Linked DNA regions of Callithrix jacchus. The protein of the gene in region 3 interacts with the protein of the main gene of each other region in a biochemical or structural test. Links are inferred from orthologs where the notes say so. Each region holds a gene or a part of one and is shown on either strand. Other genes may lie near its edges.

Region 1 (4,542 bases), on a different chromosome or scaffold from region 3:
GACCAGGTACGGGCTCACAGTTGCCTTTTCAGTGGTGTCCTTAGGTCTGTGGTCACAGGGTGGTATTAAGAGCCCTTGGAGCTCATAGCAACTTCTCATTGCAGGAAGGAGGCTGCAGTGTGCCAGTAGCTGTGCATACAGCTATGAAGGATGGGCAAGTAAGCAGTGGAAAATTGGTGGAAAGGCAGGGAAGGGACTGTGGCATTTCTTCCTGTGCATCCAGGCTTCTAAGCAGTCTCCTCTCATACTGTATTGAGGCAACTGTTTTCTTCCCCAGCTGTACCTGACTGGAGGAGTCTGGAGTCTAGATGGCTCAGATAGCATACAGGACACCATGCAGGCTACAATCCATGTCCCTGCCCAGGTACCAAAGCTGAAGGGTGAGGGGGGTAATAAGAGTGCATGTAATCTCTCTTGTTCTCACCAAATCCCACCTCCACTCATACAGCATGAAGATGGCCCTGAGGATGACCCACAGCTAGTAGGCATCACTGCTCGGAACATTCCACGAGGACCCCAGTTGGCTGCCCAGAACTTGGGCATCAGCCTGGCCAACTTGTTGCTGAGCAAAGGAGCCAAAAACATCCTGGATATTGCACGGCAGCTTAATGATGCCCATTAACTGGTCTGTGGGGCAGATGCCTGGGTTGCTGCTGTCCAGTGCCCATTGTCATGCTAGCTGGGGAGCAATTACCCCAGGAGACTGAACAGCAGGGTCCAAGCCTTCCAGGGATTTGCCTCACTATGAGCCCCTGATGACTGCCTTGCCTCCTCAGTATGTGAGGGCTTCATCTCTTTAGAGAAATCCAAGCCACAGCCTTTGAATGTAACCAGTTCTACTAATAAACCGCTCTGAAGGTGCTTTTTGTTGTTTTTCTTTCGTGGGGTGGGCAGGAAGATATGAACAAAGCCCTTTCATCCTTACTTCTGAGGCTGGGACTTTTGCCCAAAGTTCTCCTGGAACATCCTTTCTGCTTCTGCCTAAATAGTTTTCATTTCACACAGAATAAATTGTCTCCCAGAAACACTGAGAAACAGCCATAATCTTAAATTGCTATGGTTTGTCCCTTCTCTATAACAGTAGAGCCTATTTATATTGCATACCCTTCCCACCCCCACTGTCTCGGGAAGGTGTACAAAGTCACTAATTCTACAACCCTCTTGCAGAATGAATACAAACGCTCCATTTAAAAAAGAAACAATCCTTTAATAAAATTAGTCCATCTAAAACTCCCCAATGCCTCAGGTTCTAGTGTTGGAAGGGTTAGCTGCAAAATTCCAGTTCGAAAGCCAACAGAGGCTCAGTCCAGACAGGGATTAACCGACTTGTGCTGGTATCTAGGTGCTTGGATTGCCGAGTCGAGTTTGCTGGAAGGGACATGGGGCAGCGTGGGGAGGCCCGACAGGCCTGGCTGCCAGTTGGCTTCCGCGAAAACGACTCTCGCTGTCCACATAGCCAGCCGTGAAGCCAAACTGCAGGCCTCCACCCTCCCCCAAATGTCCTCCTAGGAGGCAGTCACTCGGGAGGAAGATGTGCCTGTTACCAGGTGTTTCGTCCCGGCCCCAGCGCAGACCTATGAATGAAGATGGAGAGCTGACGTGAAAGGCCTGAGTCCTGGCCGCAGAGGGGGCGCCAGACGGATATCAGCGAGCCCATCTCTCCCACCAAAGCCTCCAGGCCAGCGGCCACGTCTCAAAGTCCTGGGCTAAGCACCACGACGGGGGAGGACCAGACGCCCCGGCTGCAGCTGCCGAGGGACGGACTCACCTTCAGGGCCGCCGGCCTCTGGGCCTGGGCTGCCCACCTCGGCCCTGCGTCAGAGCGGAAGGCCAAGTCTTCCAGAAGGTGCTGCGGCCTCCCCGCAGCCCCTCGGCGACTCAGGATCGGGCGGCTGAGTCACGAGCGCCGAGGCGGGCAGGTGCGGCGTCGCCGGTCTCCCCCCGGCAGGCTCGGGTCCTCCGCGCCACGGCGGTCCCCGCAGAGCGCCCTAGCCGTTTCCGGACCGCTCGAGCCCTGCCGGAGAGCGGCCGGCGGACGTGGCAGGGCCCGAGGCCGACGCGGCAGGGGGCGCGGGCCACGAGTGGGGGCGGACGGGGACTCCAGGACGGGCGGTGGGCGAGGGGAGGGGCAGGGAGGCGGGAGCCGCGGCCCGCTTGCTCCGCAGTCTGAAGTGGCTCAGCTCTTTCCGTGAGGGCGGTGGTGGCCCTTAAAAGGGCCTTTGTGGTGGCATGGGGAGGCCTGGCGGCCGGCCGCGACGCGGGCCCTCTTAGTACTCCTGGGAGGCCTGGGTGGCCTTCTTGCCGCCTGAGGGCGCCTTCGGCCCCACGGTGGCGCTGGTCTTCTTGGGCAGCAGCACGGCCTGGATGTTGGGCAGAACGCCTCCCTGGGCGATAGTTACGCCGCCCAGCAGTTTGTTGAGCTCCTCGTCGTTGCGAATGGCCAGCTGCAGGTGGCGGGGGATGATCCGCGTCTTCTTGTTGTCGCGGGCCGCATTGCCCGCCAGCTCCAGGATCTCAGCGGTGAGGTACTCCAGCACTGCCGCCAGGTACACTGGAGCGCCGGCGCCAACGCGCTCGGCGTAGTGGCCCTTCCGCAGCAGCCGGTGTACGCGGCCCACGGGGAACTGGAGGCCGGCGCGCGACGAGCGCGACTTGGCTTTGGCGCGGGCCTTGCCGCCAGTCTTGCCGCGGCCCGACATGCTAGCGAGGTAGACCGGCGAAGCTCAACGGCTCAGAGACACCAGGACAAACACTCTCCGCAGTCCAACTGCTGTCGCGCGCGCGCGCCGAGAGGCCGTTTTTATAGGCCCCCAGGACACACCTCCGCACCCTCCTGATTGGCCCTTTTCTCCAGTACCCTCCTCCGATTGGTTGCGATTAACCCTTGGGTGTCGCGCCTCTGCTGAGGTAGCGCGCCCGTCGATTGGTTAAATTTGAAAACCTTTTGCCCGGGGAGAAAAGGCGAAAAGGAGGGGTAGCGGGCAGACGGCCAACCACCCGCGAACGTAGCCAATCATTGTAAAGCGCGCGAGATTTAAACGGTACAGTCGGAAACCAGAAGCTGAAGACAGAAGGGGTGGAGTCTGAGGCCACCTAGAAAACTTCTGGGAAATTGTGCTGGAATAGGAATTTTAAAGGACAGGGGTCAATACTACAGCTACCGCTGCCTCCCTTTCCAGGCCAGGTCACTCTCTATACCCTTCTCCTACCTGGCAAAGGGAGAAAGGGAAATTAGACCCTTAACGTTCTTTTCTTTCTTTCTTTTTTTTTAAATAGACCGGGTCTCGCTCTGTCACCCAGGCGGGAGGGCAGTGGTGTGATCTCGGCTCACTGCAGCCTCGAACTCCTGGGCTCAAGGGATCTTCCCTGGTCAACCTCCCTAGTAGCTGGTACTCCAATCGCGCCCCACCATACTTGGCTAATTATTTTATTTTTGTAGAGACAGAGTCTCGTTTTGTTGCCCAGGCTGTCTTGAATTGGGGCTTAAGCAATCCTCTTGCCTCTGCCTGCTAGTGTTGGGATTACAGGTGTGAGCCACCACACCCAGTGACTCTGAAAGTGTGATCCCATTCCACGAAACAGGGTAACTTTAATCTTTTGGCCCTCCTGAAGTATCAGGAGTTCTTTTATTTTGTTTTTGAGACAGAGTCTGGCTCTGTTGCCCAGGCTGGAGTCAGTGGCACATCTTGGCTCACTGTAACATCTGCCTCCCAGGTTCAAGCAATTCTCCTGCCTCAGCCTCCAGAGTAGTTGGGACTGCAGGCACACACCCCCACATTGGGCTAATTTTTGTATTTTTCGTAGAGACAGGGTTTCACCATATTGGCCAGGCTGGTCTCAAACTCCTGACGTCGTGATCCATCTGCCTCAGCCTCCCAAAGTGCTGGGATTACAGGCGTGAGCCACCATGCCTAGCCAGGATTTCAATATTTATTCAACATGTTCTGTTTGGTCTCAGTTCTGTTCATTTCTTGCTAGAAGAAAGGAGAGAGGAGGCCACTATTTGAACCCTCCTCCATGGCTAATTAATAGGAAGAGCACTGAAGTGGAGTCAACCTCAGATCTGTTTCTGGCTCTGCTGCTTACTGCTATCAGAACCACCGTATCAGATTATGCAAGGGAGAGAGATAGGCATCCTGTTGGTGGAAGTACTCTCACCAACCCTCTCAATCTACCCAAAAATGCCCATATAGGAAATATACCTACAGGAACAATAAGAAAAAGACAACACTTTATTGTCTCCATTGGGAGCATGTAGCCCCCTGCTCAGCTCTTACTAATCAGAACACTTAATTTACAATCAAATGACATGTCACCTTGGAGCCTGTGTCCCTAGCCCTGGCCCAAGTTCTATCCCAAAAACCAGCAGTTCCTTGAGAGTGAGGATTCTGAAATGTGAGTGTGGATAACTGCAAAAAAAACAAAAACAAAAACAAAAAACTGCTGTATCCCACCCTATGAGGCTGCAAAGATGGGATGGAGAGGGAGAGAGTGGCAAGTTGCAGGAGGCCATAGGCAAAGTCCGATCAATTGTCAGTAGAG
Region 2 (4,816 bases), on a different chromosome or scaffold from region 3:
GATAATACTGGCCAGGCGCGGTGTCTCAAGCCTGTAATCGCAGCACTTTGGGAGGCAGAGGTGGGCAGATCACAAGGTCAGGAGATTGAGATCATCCTGGACAATATGGTGAAGCCCCCATCTCTACTAAAAATACAAAAAAATTAGCCGGGCATGGTGGCAGGAGCCTGTAGTCCCAGCTACTCAGGAGGCCAAGGCTGGAGAATCCCTTGAACCTGAGAGTCGGAGGTTGCAGCGAGCCGAGATCACACCACTGCACTTCAGCCTGACAACAGAGCAAAACTCCATCTCAAAAAAAAAAAGAAAAAGATAAAGATAATGCCACACTTTGAAGAGGCTTCAATAAATATATCAAGTATATGAGTTTCCTGTTTTTTAACTGCCTTTAAAAAAACAAACAAACAAACAACAGCAAAAAAAAAAAAAAAAAAAAAAAAGAGAAGCCAGACATGGTGGCTCATATCTGTAATTGCAACACTTTGGGAAGCCAAAGTGGGCAGATCACTTGAGGCCAGGTGTTCGAGACCAGCCTGGACAACACAGTAAAGTCCCATCTCACCTAAAACAAATAAACAAAAAACAATTCGCTGGGTGCTATGGCTCATGCTTGTAATCCCAGTTACTGAGGAGGCTGAGGCAGGAGAATAACTTGAACCTGGGAGGAAGAGGTTGCAGAGGGCTGCAATCTGGGCAATAGAGTGAGAGTCTGAAAAAGAAAAAAAAAGAAAGAGAGAGAGAGACAGAGAGAGAAAGAGAGAGAGAGAGGGAGAAAGTCAACAGAGCAGAAATCAATGAAATGATAAATGAATGTCCAGTAGAGAAAATCAGCAAAGCCAAGGTTGATTCTCTGAGAAAATTAATGATATAGATAAAATCCTGGCAATACTAATCAAGGAAAAGTAGAAAAGTAGTAACATAGTAAACATAAATCACCAATATCAACAATAAAAAGAGAGATCCTCCACATACTAAAAATGTCAAAGGATAAGGTTATGAATGGTTTTATATCAATAAATTTGAAATTTTGATAAAATTGACACATTTCTTAAAAAAACAAAACTCACCAGCATTGAAGCTTGAAGAACCATAGAATCTGGATATTTCTCTAGCTCAATCTGTTATGAAAAACTTTTCCACAAGTAAAACTCTAAACACAGATGACTTAACTGGTGAAGCCTTCCAAACGTTTAAGAAATAAAGAACTCTATTCTTACACAGTATCTTCCAGAGAATAAGAAAAGAAGTAGCATATTTCAGTTCATTTTATGAGCCGTTATAACCTTGAAACCAAACTTTTACGGACATTAAGATAAAGAAAACTGCAGAATAATTTCTCTCATCAACACAAATGCAAAAAATCCTTAAAAAAAGTAATCAAGATCAGCAATATGTAAAAAATGTTATACATAATAGCCAGGTGGGATTTATTCCAGGAATGTAAGAGTAGATTAACCTTTAAAAATCAATTAAAGGAAAAAACAAAAAAAGAAAACAACAACAAAAATCAATTAAAGGAGCCCAAGCGTGGTGGTGCACACCTGCAGCTCCAGCTACTTGGGAGACTGAGGAGGGAGGATCACTTGAGCCTAGGAGGTGGAGCCTTCAGTGAACTACGATCCCACAACTGTACTCCAGCCTGGGCAATAGAGCAAGACCCCATTAAGCAAGAAGAAAGAGAAAGAAAGAGAGAGAGAGAGAAAAAAAGAAAGAGGCAGGGAGAGAGGGAGGGAAGAAAGAAGGGAGGGAGGGAGAGAGGGAGAGAGGGAGGGAGGGAGGGAGGGAGGGAGGGAGGGAGGGAGGAAAAAAAACAGGAAAAGGAATGAAAGAAAGAGAATTACAGAAGTTCACCACATTAGCATAAAAAGAAAAGGGAATCATATGATTACCTTAGGTGCAGAAAAAATACTCAACAAAATGCAACATCCATTCATGATTTAAAAAAAAAAATCAGCAACCCAGGAAGGAAGGAAAGATCCCTGATAATGGTTAATAATATTTAAAACAAAACAAAACACCAGCAAAATGTTTGCATAATGGAGAAGTATTGAAAACTTTCCCTATCACCACTTTTACTGAATATTGTATTAACAGTTTGGCAGTATCTGTTAAAGCTGAACATACATCTGCTTCATGATATATGGGGAAACCCTGCAGTAATGCATACCTAAGTGCACTAAAAGACGTGTAGTAGAATGTAATGTAAGTTCTAGTTAGTGCAGTAAGTCAAGAGAAAAAAGACTCCTAAGGATGTGAAAGGAAAAAGCAAAACCGTTATTATTCATGTAAGACATAAGGATGTAAATAGAAAAGAAGCAATTCCAACTAATAAGACAATTCAGCAAGATCATTGGATTCAAGGTCAATATACAAAAACCAATTGTTTTTTTTCTGCAGATGCCAGCAACAGATAGAAAATGAAATTAAAATTATATTCACAGCAGCAGTCTCCATAAGAGCCCAAACTGAAGACTACAGCCATCAGGAGGAAAGACAAAATGTGCTGCATACACAGTGTAGAATCTGCAACACCGGGAATGAATGCAGGGCAGCTATACACAGCATAGGTGAATCTCACACAGACTCTCCAGTGAAAGAAGCCAAACACAAAATTGTATGCATGGTATGATTCCATCTGTATAAAGCTCAGAAATCAACAGAATTAGTCTATGTGTTAGAGGTCAAGATAATGGGTACCTTTGTGGGAGGGAGAATGGGAAGTGAGTGAAAGTCAGCTGTTAATGTTCTGTTTCTTGATGGAGGCGCTGGTTATGTGGTTGTGTTCATTTGATGATAATTAAGCTGTACATTTATTTAGCATATGTGATATTTTATGTACATTTATTATACTTTAAAAGTTCTTAAAATTTCATTTAAATTCAGATTTTCTCCAGGCAGAAGTCACAGACCTGAGCAGGATGGGGCTACAGGGGTGAGGAGAGGCAGCCCTCTCTGGGGCTTCACCTGACCTCGGCCTTCCAGAGCAAAGGGCTGCTGAGGACAGTGTCATTTGGGTCGAGTTTTTGAGAGGACACAGGAGTAGTCCATTCTCCCAGTGGAAACCCTTTGGGAGAGAGTCTGAGAATCCCTGACAATTGTGTTCAAAACGTTCCCCGCTTCCAGGGGGAAGGGCCCACAGTTTCCACCCTATGTACTGCACCGGAATCCCGAGGATTTGGTGTTTTTGAAATGTTTAGGAATTGCTGGGCTAGGTGAGGGTCCGGGGGTCAGAAACCTGTGTACTGGCAACTCACCTGGGACCCCCGGCGGATCTGTCTCTGGGTTGTAAGGTGGCCAGACCAGCGAGCTTCGAAACTGCTCAGGCTCTGAGGTGCGGCCCCCTCGCCGGAGATGCAACCTCGCAGACCCGGGCGCTGGGCAGGGGACTGGAGAGGGGCTGGCATCTTGCAGCCCTTCGGTCCCGCGGAGGGCACGGGCTGCTCGCTGGCTGCCCCGGGGGAGGAGTGGGAGGAGTGGCGAGGGCTATCAGCCCTGGCGGGCGAACCTTTCCCAGGAGGCGCTGCTTGCTCCAGCGGGGTAAAGCCTGACGAGGCGCGAGAGCGGGGCTGGTGACGCGCGCCGGCCGCGGAGAATGAGGCTGGCCCTCTGCGCCCTGCCGTGCGCTGGAGCCCTGGGTGAGTGGGCGCCGGGAGCGGAGGTGGGGGCCGGCCCTGCTGGGTGCAGCGGGGAGGCACTGGGTGCCAGCAGCGGGTCGGTCACAGCGGGAGCCTGCGCTACGACCGGACAAGCGGGCCTGCGGGGCTGCGATGAGCCCCTAAAAGTGCTTTCTCCACTAGGGCGCACCTGACACTTTGGTCCTCGCAGAAACTCCATTAACTAGGGAGAGGGTTGTAGACTGCGACTAGCTGGCCAAATCCTGTCTGTGGCTTGGTGTTGTACACAGCTGCCTGAGCCAAGCATGCTTTTCACATCTTTAAATGGTTGAAGGGGACAGGCCGGGCGCGGTGGCTCAGGCCTGTAATCCCAACACTTTGGGAGGCCGAGGTAGTGTATCATCTCAGGTCAGGAGTTCCAGACTAGCCTGGCCAACGTGGTGAAACCTCGTCTCTACTGAAAATACAAAAATTAGCTGGGTGTGGTGGTGTGCGACTGTAATCCCAGCTACTCGGGAGGCTGAGGCATGAGAATCACTTGAATCAGGGGGGCGGAGGTTACAGTGAGTGGAGATCATGCCACTGCACTCCAGCCTAGACAACAGAATGAGACTTTGTCAAAAAAGTTGAAGGGGAAATCAAAAGAGCAATATTATGTGACATGAAATTTACATAAAATTCAAATTTCAGTGTCCATAAATAAAATTTTATTAGAATGCAGTCATGCTCACTCAGTTAAATATCATCTAGGGCAGCTTTCAGGTTTGTCCAAGTCAAATATCTCTAAGTTTAAAACATTTTATGTGGGAATAAGAATTGAAATTCCAGGCACGTACACAGACTGGATGGTCCTCCATATGTCCAAAGAACAAAGAGAAGATTGGAGGTTCCATAGAAAAGGAGAAATGTTCTTCCAGAAAGTTCATTGGCACAAGTAAAGTTTTGGGGAACTGGCAAGTCCTGATTGTTGAGGGGCTGCAGCAGGTAAAACGAGGTTTCAGTAGGTGCTAACTAAAACTGGTCTTAGGTTACAATAGGCAGTTTCGGCAGCCAGGCTTGCTGAGAATTTCACATGTGGAGCAATGTTATGTGTCCCCAGTGCTTTTTTCCCCCGACTTCTCACTCTGTTTTAGTTGGTTATGACAAAAATGACCGACTTCTGCATGATCAACTTCCACAGGCTTCAAGGTCAGAGTTGAGTAGTT
Region 3 (4,716 bases):
GATCCCACCACTGCACTCCAGCCTGGGTGACAGAGTGAGACTGTCTCAAAAAAAAAAAAAAAAAAAAAGATATGCTCACTGGATTTCCCTTTCTGATGATGATCTCTCTTCCATTAGACTGGGAACTACCTGGGAAGCTACCTTTTTCCCACAGACCTGTCTCCATAATGCTACTATAGTGTTCTCCACACATGGAGGATGGTAATGAAAAGGATGGCTGGGGCAAAGAAAGAAGAAACAAGAAAAAAGGGTCTTTCTTTTGAGTCAGATAGAAGATACAACTTGGGAAACAGTTATGGAAAACAACGGGTGCCAAAGATAAAGGAACAAAAGCCATTCAAGGAGTGATGAAAATGGAAGAAAACTGAATAATAAGAAAGGAATAGATTAAAGTGAGGCTAGGTGAGGGAGAATTGAGAGGATATAGAGAAGACTTGTGGAGTAGGAGGAGGTAGAAAAGGCAGCTCTCACCCTGGAAGCTTTCTTAGCAGCTCTGATCCTGGAAGCCTTCTTAGCAGGTGGCATCTTGCAATTCAGGCCTAGACAGAAAGTAAACACAAAGGTGGCTGAGTTCCAAGCAGTTGGTTGCTCAGGGGTTATCATGAAGCCTGTGTACCATCTTGGGTTCCCCTCCGCCTTCACTTACCTTTCTGATGCCTCCTGGGGCTCACTGGGGATCCCCTTTCACCTGACTGGCTCCCAGAAGGTATGGGGGCTGAGGCAGGTTCTGGAAAGTCCCTCGCCCCCACCCCAGGCTCTGGTGTTGGGCTGGAGGCCTGCCCTTTCTGGTCCCGGCTCCCTCCCTCTGGCTCCCCCCTCTGTGTGCCTCTCTCCAGGATCACTTTGGGCACCTTCCCTTCTAACTCAGCTGGCTCACACTCTCTGTCTGCTACTGGTCTCTCTACGTCTCTCTCAAATGTTTTGCTTGGAAGGGTCTGCTTCTCTACTTCTTTCTCCTGTATTTCCTCAGATGTCTGAATTTCTACCTTTGAACTCTCCCTATTTCTTTTAGGACTTGCACTTTCCCCCTTTTTGCCAGATTCTTGTCTCTGACTGTCTCTAGCTAACAACTGTTTTTGTTCTCTGTCCTGCATGCCCCTGGTTAATTCTTCCTCTCCTGTTACATCTGTCTGTCTTTCTGGCATCAGTTTCTCAGTTTCCCTCTCCAATGGCACTCTCTCAGGGGCCATCCTCTCTGTTGTTTCTTTTGGTATACCCATATCTTTATCCATAGTCTGCATCTCTCTGCCTTGAATCCCCATTGGCTCTGTGTGGACTGGGCTCTCTGGATGTTGGTCTCCTGGTATTGCCCTAGGTGGAGACAGGCAAGATCCACAGGCCTCAAGGTAGGTGTCAAAAGGCTGGGTCTCAGAGTCCTTGGACTCTCTCAGACAGAATGGCTGTGTAGCCAGGACCTCCCATGGTTCATCTAGGCTACCTGGAAGTAAAAAGAGAGAAAAAGAAAGAAAGAGAAGGAGAAGGAGAGGAGGAGGGAAAGAGAGGTACAGGTTGAAATAATAAATACATTGAGAAAGGATTAAGATAAACTCATGAATAATAAATCTAAACAGGTAATTAAAACAAAGCTGGGAATAAGGGTGGTAGCTATAACTTATTATTATTATTTGAGACGGAGTCTCACTCTGTCGCCCAGGCTGGAGTGCAGTGGTGCAATCTTGGCTCACTGCAACCTCTGCTGCCCAGGTTCAAGCAATTCTCCTGCCTCAGCCTCCCAAGTAGCTGGGACTACAGGTACATGTTATCATGCCCGGCTAGTTTTTTGTATTTTCAGTAGAGACAGTTTCACTGTGTTAACCAGGATGGTCTCGATCTCCCGACCTCGTGATCCGCCTGCCTTGGTTTCCCAAAGTGCTGGGATTACAGGTGTGAGCCACTGCTCTTCGCTGTTTCTCTCAAAAAGGTCATAGCCTTGGGTGGGTATGCTAGTTTGATCTGTAATCCCAGCACTTTGGGAGACAAAGACATGAGGACTGCTTGAGGTCATGATTTCAAGACTGGCCTGGACAACATGGCAAAACCCTATTTCTACAAAAAATTAGCCAGGCGTGGTGGCGGGTACCTGTAGTCCTGTAGTCTCAGCTACCTGGGAGTTAGGAGGACCACTTGAACCCCGGAGGTCAAGACTGTAGTGAGCTATGATCATACCACTGCACTCCAGCCTGAGTGACAGAGAGACTTTGTCTCAAAAAAAAAGAAATGAAAAAAGAGAAACATCATAGCTTAATATGAGAGTTCCCTGAGTAATCTCTTCCTCTCTTTTTTTTTGAGACAGAGTCTCACTCTGTCACCCAGGCTGGAGTACAGTGGCATGATCATGGCTCACTGCAACTTCCAGCTGTTCGGCTCAGGAGATCCTCCCGCCTTAGCCTCCACAGTAGCTGGGACTATAGCATGTGCCACTGTGCCTGGCTAATTTTTTGTATTTTTGAGACATAGTCTCGCTCTATCACCAGGCTGAAGTGCAGTGATGCGATCCCAGCTCACTGCAACTTCTGTTTTCTGGTTTCAAGCGGTTTTCCTGACTCAGCCTCCCGAGTAGCTGGAACAACAGGCACGCATCACCACGCCTGGCTAATTTTTTGTACTTTTAGTAGAGACGGGGTTTCACCATGTTGGCTGGGATGGTCTTGATCTCTTGATCTCGTGATCCGCCCACCTTGGCCTTCCAAAGTGCTGGGATTATAGGCATGAGCCACCATGCCCGGCTGGAATTCCCCTCTTTTTAAAGGTTGAATAGTATTCCATTGTGTATATATACCACATTTTCTTTTCGTTGACACATAATAATCTTTTTTTTTTTTTTTTTTTTTTTGACAGAGTCTCACACTGTCACCCAGGCTGGAGTGCAGTGGTGTGATCTCAGCTCACTGCAACCTCTGCCTCCCAGGTTCAAGCAATTCTTTTGCCTCAGTCTCCTGAGTAGCTGGAATTATAGGAAGTAGTACTTCCTGTAATTAGCTGCCACTATGCCTGGCTAATTTTTTGTATTTTTAGTGGAGATGGGGTTTCACCATGTTGGCCAGGCTGGTCTGGAACTCCTGAACTTGTGATCCACCTGCCTCAGGCCCCCCTGGGACTAATGGCGTGAGCCACTGCGTTCAGCCCTATAATTGTACATTTTTATGGGGTACCTGTATTATTTTGACCTGTGCATACAACGTACAATGATAAAACCAAGACAACTGGGATATCCACTATCTCAAACATTTATCATTTCTTTGTATTGGAAACATACCAAATCTCTTCCAGCTATTTTGAAATATACAATAAATTATTAACTATAGTAACCCTACTGTGGAACTAGAACTTATTCATTCAATTGACTGTATCTTTTTTTTGAGACAGAGTCTTGCTCTGTTGTCTAGACTGGAGTGCAGTGGCATGGGCTTGGCTCACTGCAACCTCCACCTCCTGGGTTTGAGCAATTTTCCTGCCTCAGCCTCCTAAGTAGCTAGGATTACAGGCGGCTAATTTTTGTATTTTAGTAGAGATGCGGTTTCACCATATGAACTCCTGACCTCATGATCCACCCGATTCAGCCTTCCAAAGTGCTGGGACTATAGGTGTGAGCCACTGTGCCCAGCCCTGACTGTATTTTTGTATCCATTAACCAATCTTTTTATGTGTCCTATCCCTCTACCATTCTCAGCCTTTAGTAACCACCATTCTACTCTCTACTTCCATGAGATCCATGTTTCATGTTTTTAGCTCCCACATATGAATGAGCATGCACTATTTGCCTTTCTGTGCTGACTTATTTCACTTAACATAATGTCCTCAGGGCTCATCCACATTGCTGCAGATGACAGGATTTCATTCTCTTTTGTGGCCGAACACTGTTCCATTGCGTATGTATACACATTTTCTTTTTTTTTGACATTGAGTCTTACTCTGTTGCCCAGGTTGGAGTGCAGTAGTGTGATCTCAGCTCACTGGAACCTCTGCATCAAGGCTCCAGGAATCCTCCTACCTCAGCTCCTGAGTAGTCCCAGCTGGGAGGGACTGGGAGGGATTCCTGGAGCCTCCTATCTCAGGTGCACAAGGCAGGTGCACACCACCATGCCCAACTAATTTTTGTATTTTAAGCCATCACACCCAGCCTATACATACATTTTCTTTTTGTTTTGAGATGAAGTCTCATATTGTTGCCCATACTGGAGTGCAATGGCACGATCTTGGCTCACTGCAATCTCTGACTCTGGGGTTCAAGTGATTTTCCTGCCTTAGCTTTCTGAGTAGCTGGGACTATAGGCACCTGCCACCATGCCCAGCTAATTTTTGTATTTTCAGTAGAGACAGAGTTTCACTATGTTGGCCAGGCTGGTCTCAAACTCCTGAACTCAGGTGATCCACCCACCTTGGCCTCTCAAAGTGCTGGGATTACAGGCATGAGCCACTGTGCCTGGCCTACATTTTCTTTATTCAGTCATCTGTTGATGGACATTTAGTCTGATTTCATATCTTGACTATTGTGAATAGTGCTGCAACAGTGTGTGTGTGTGTATGTGTGTGTGTTTTTAACAGATATTGGGGGTGGGGGTTGAGGGAAACCCAGGGTGGGCTCAAATGATCCTCCCATCCTGGCCTCCCACATAGCTTGGACTAAGGTGCTCACTACCATGCTGGGCTAATTTTTTCATTTTTGTGGAGATCAGGTCTCTCTCTGTTGCCCAGCCTAGTCCCTAAATATTTTCA

What was found.
Region 1: the proteins of MDC1 (region 3) and H2AX form a complex in vitro, tested with the Homo sapiens proteins (5 studies listed by BioGRID and IntAct, with this or other methods). The link is inferred for Callithrix jacchus from reciprocal best matches to the Homo sapiens genes MDC1 and H2AX.
Region 2: the proteins of MDC1 (region 3) and TOPBP1 are reported together in a solved structure, tested with the Homo sapiens proteins (3 studies listed by BioGRID, with this or other methods). The link is inferred for Callithrix jacchus from reciprocal best matches to the Homo sapiens genes MDC1 and TOPBP1.

The regions. Positions count from the first base shown.
Region 1 is NC_133511.1:18,752,848-18,757,389, forward strand, and holds H2AX (histone H2AX), read right to left. Parts: upstream 2,776-4,542; 5' UTR 2,700-2,775; coding exon 2,268-2,699; 3' UTR 1,187-2,267; downstream 1-1,186. Other genes in the region: HMBS (porphobilinogen deaminase), read left to right, coding at 105-158, 278-364, 449-622. UniProt on the Homo sapiens protein: Variant histone H2A which replaces conventional H2A in a subset of nucleosomes. Nucleosomes wrap and compact DNA into chromatin, limiting DNA accessibility to the cellular machineries which require DNA as a template.
Region 2 is NC_133518.1:50,474,995-50,479,810, reverse strand, and holds the start of TOPBP1 (DNA topoisomerase 2-binding protein 1), read right to left. Parts: upstream 3,464-4,816; 5' UTR 3,402-3,463; coding exon 3,252-3,401; intron 1-3,251. Other genes in the region: serotransferrin-like, read left to right, coding at 3,590-3,632. UniProt on the Homo sapiens protein: Scaffold protein that acts as a key protein-protein adapter in DNA replication and DNA repair. Composed of multiple BRCT domains, which specifically recognize and bind phosphorylated proteins, bringing proteins together into functional combinations.
Region 3 is NC_133505.1:35,502,575-35,507,290, forward strand, and holds part of MDC1 (mediator of DNA damage checkpoint protein 1), read right to left. Parts: intron 1,439-4,716; coding exon 647-1,438; intron 540-646; coding exon 472-539; intron 1-471. UniProt on the Homo sapiens protein: Histone reader protein required for checkpoint-mediated cell cycle arrest in response to DNA damage within both the S phase and G2/M phases of the cell cycle.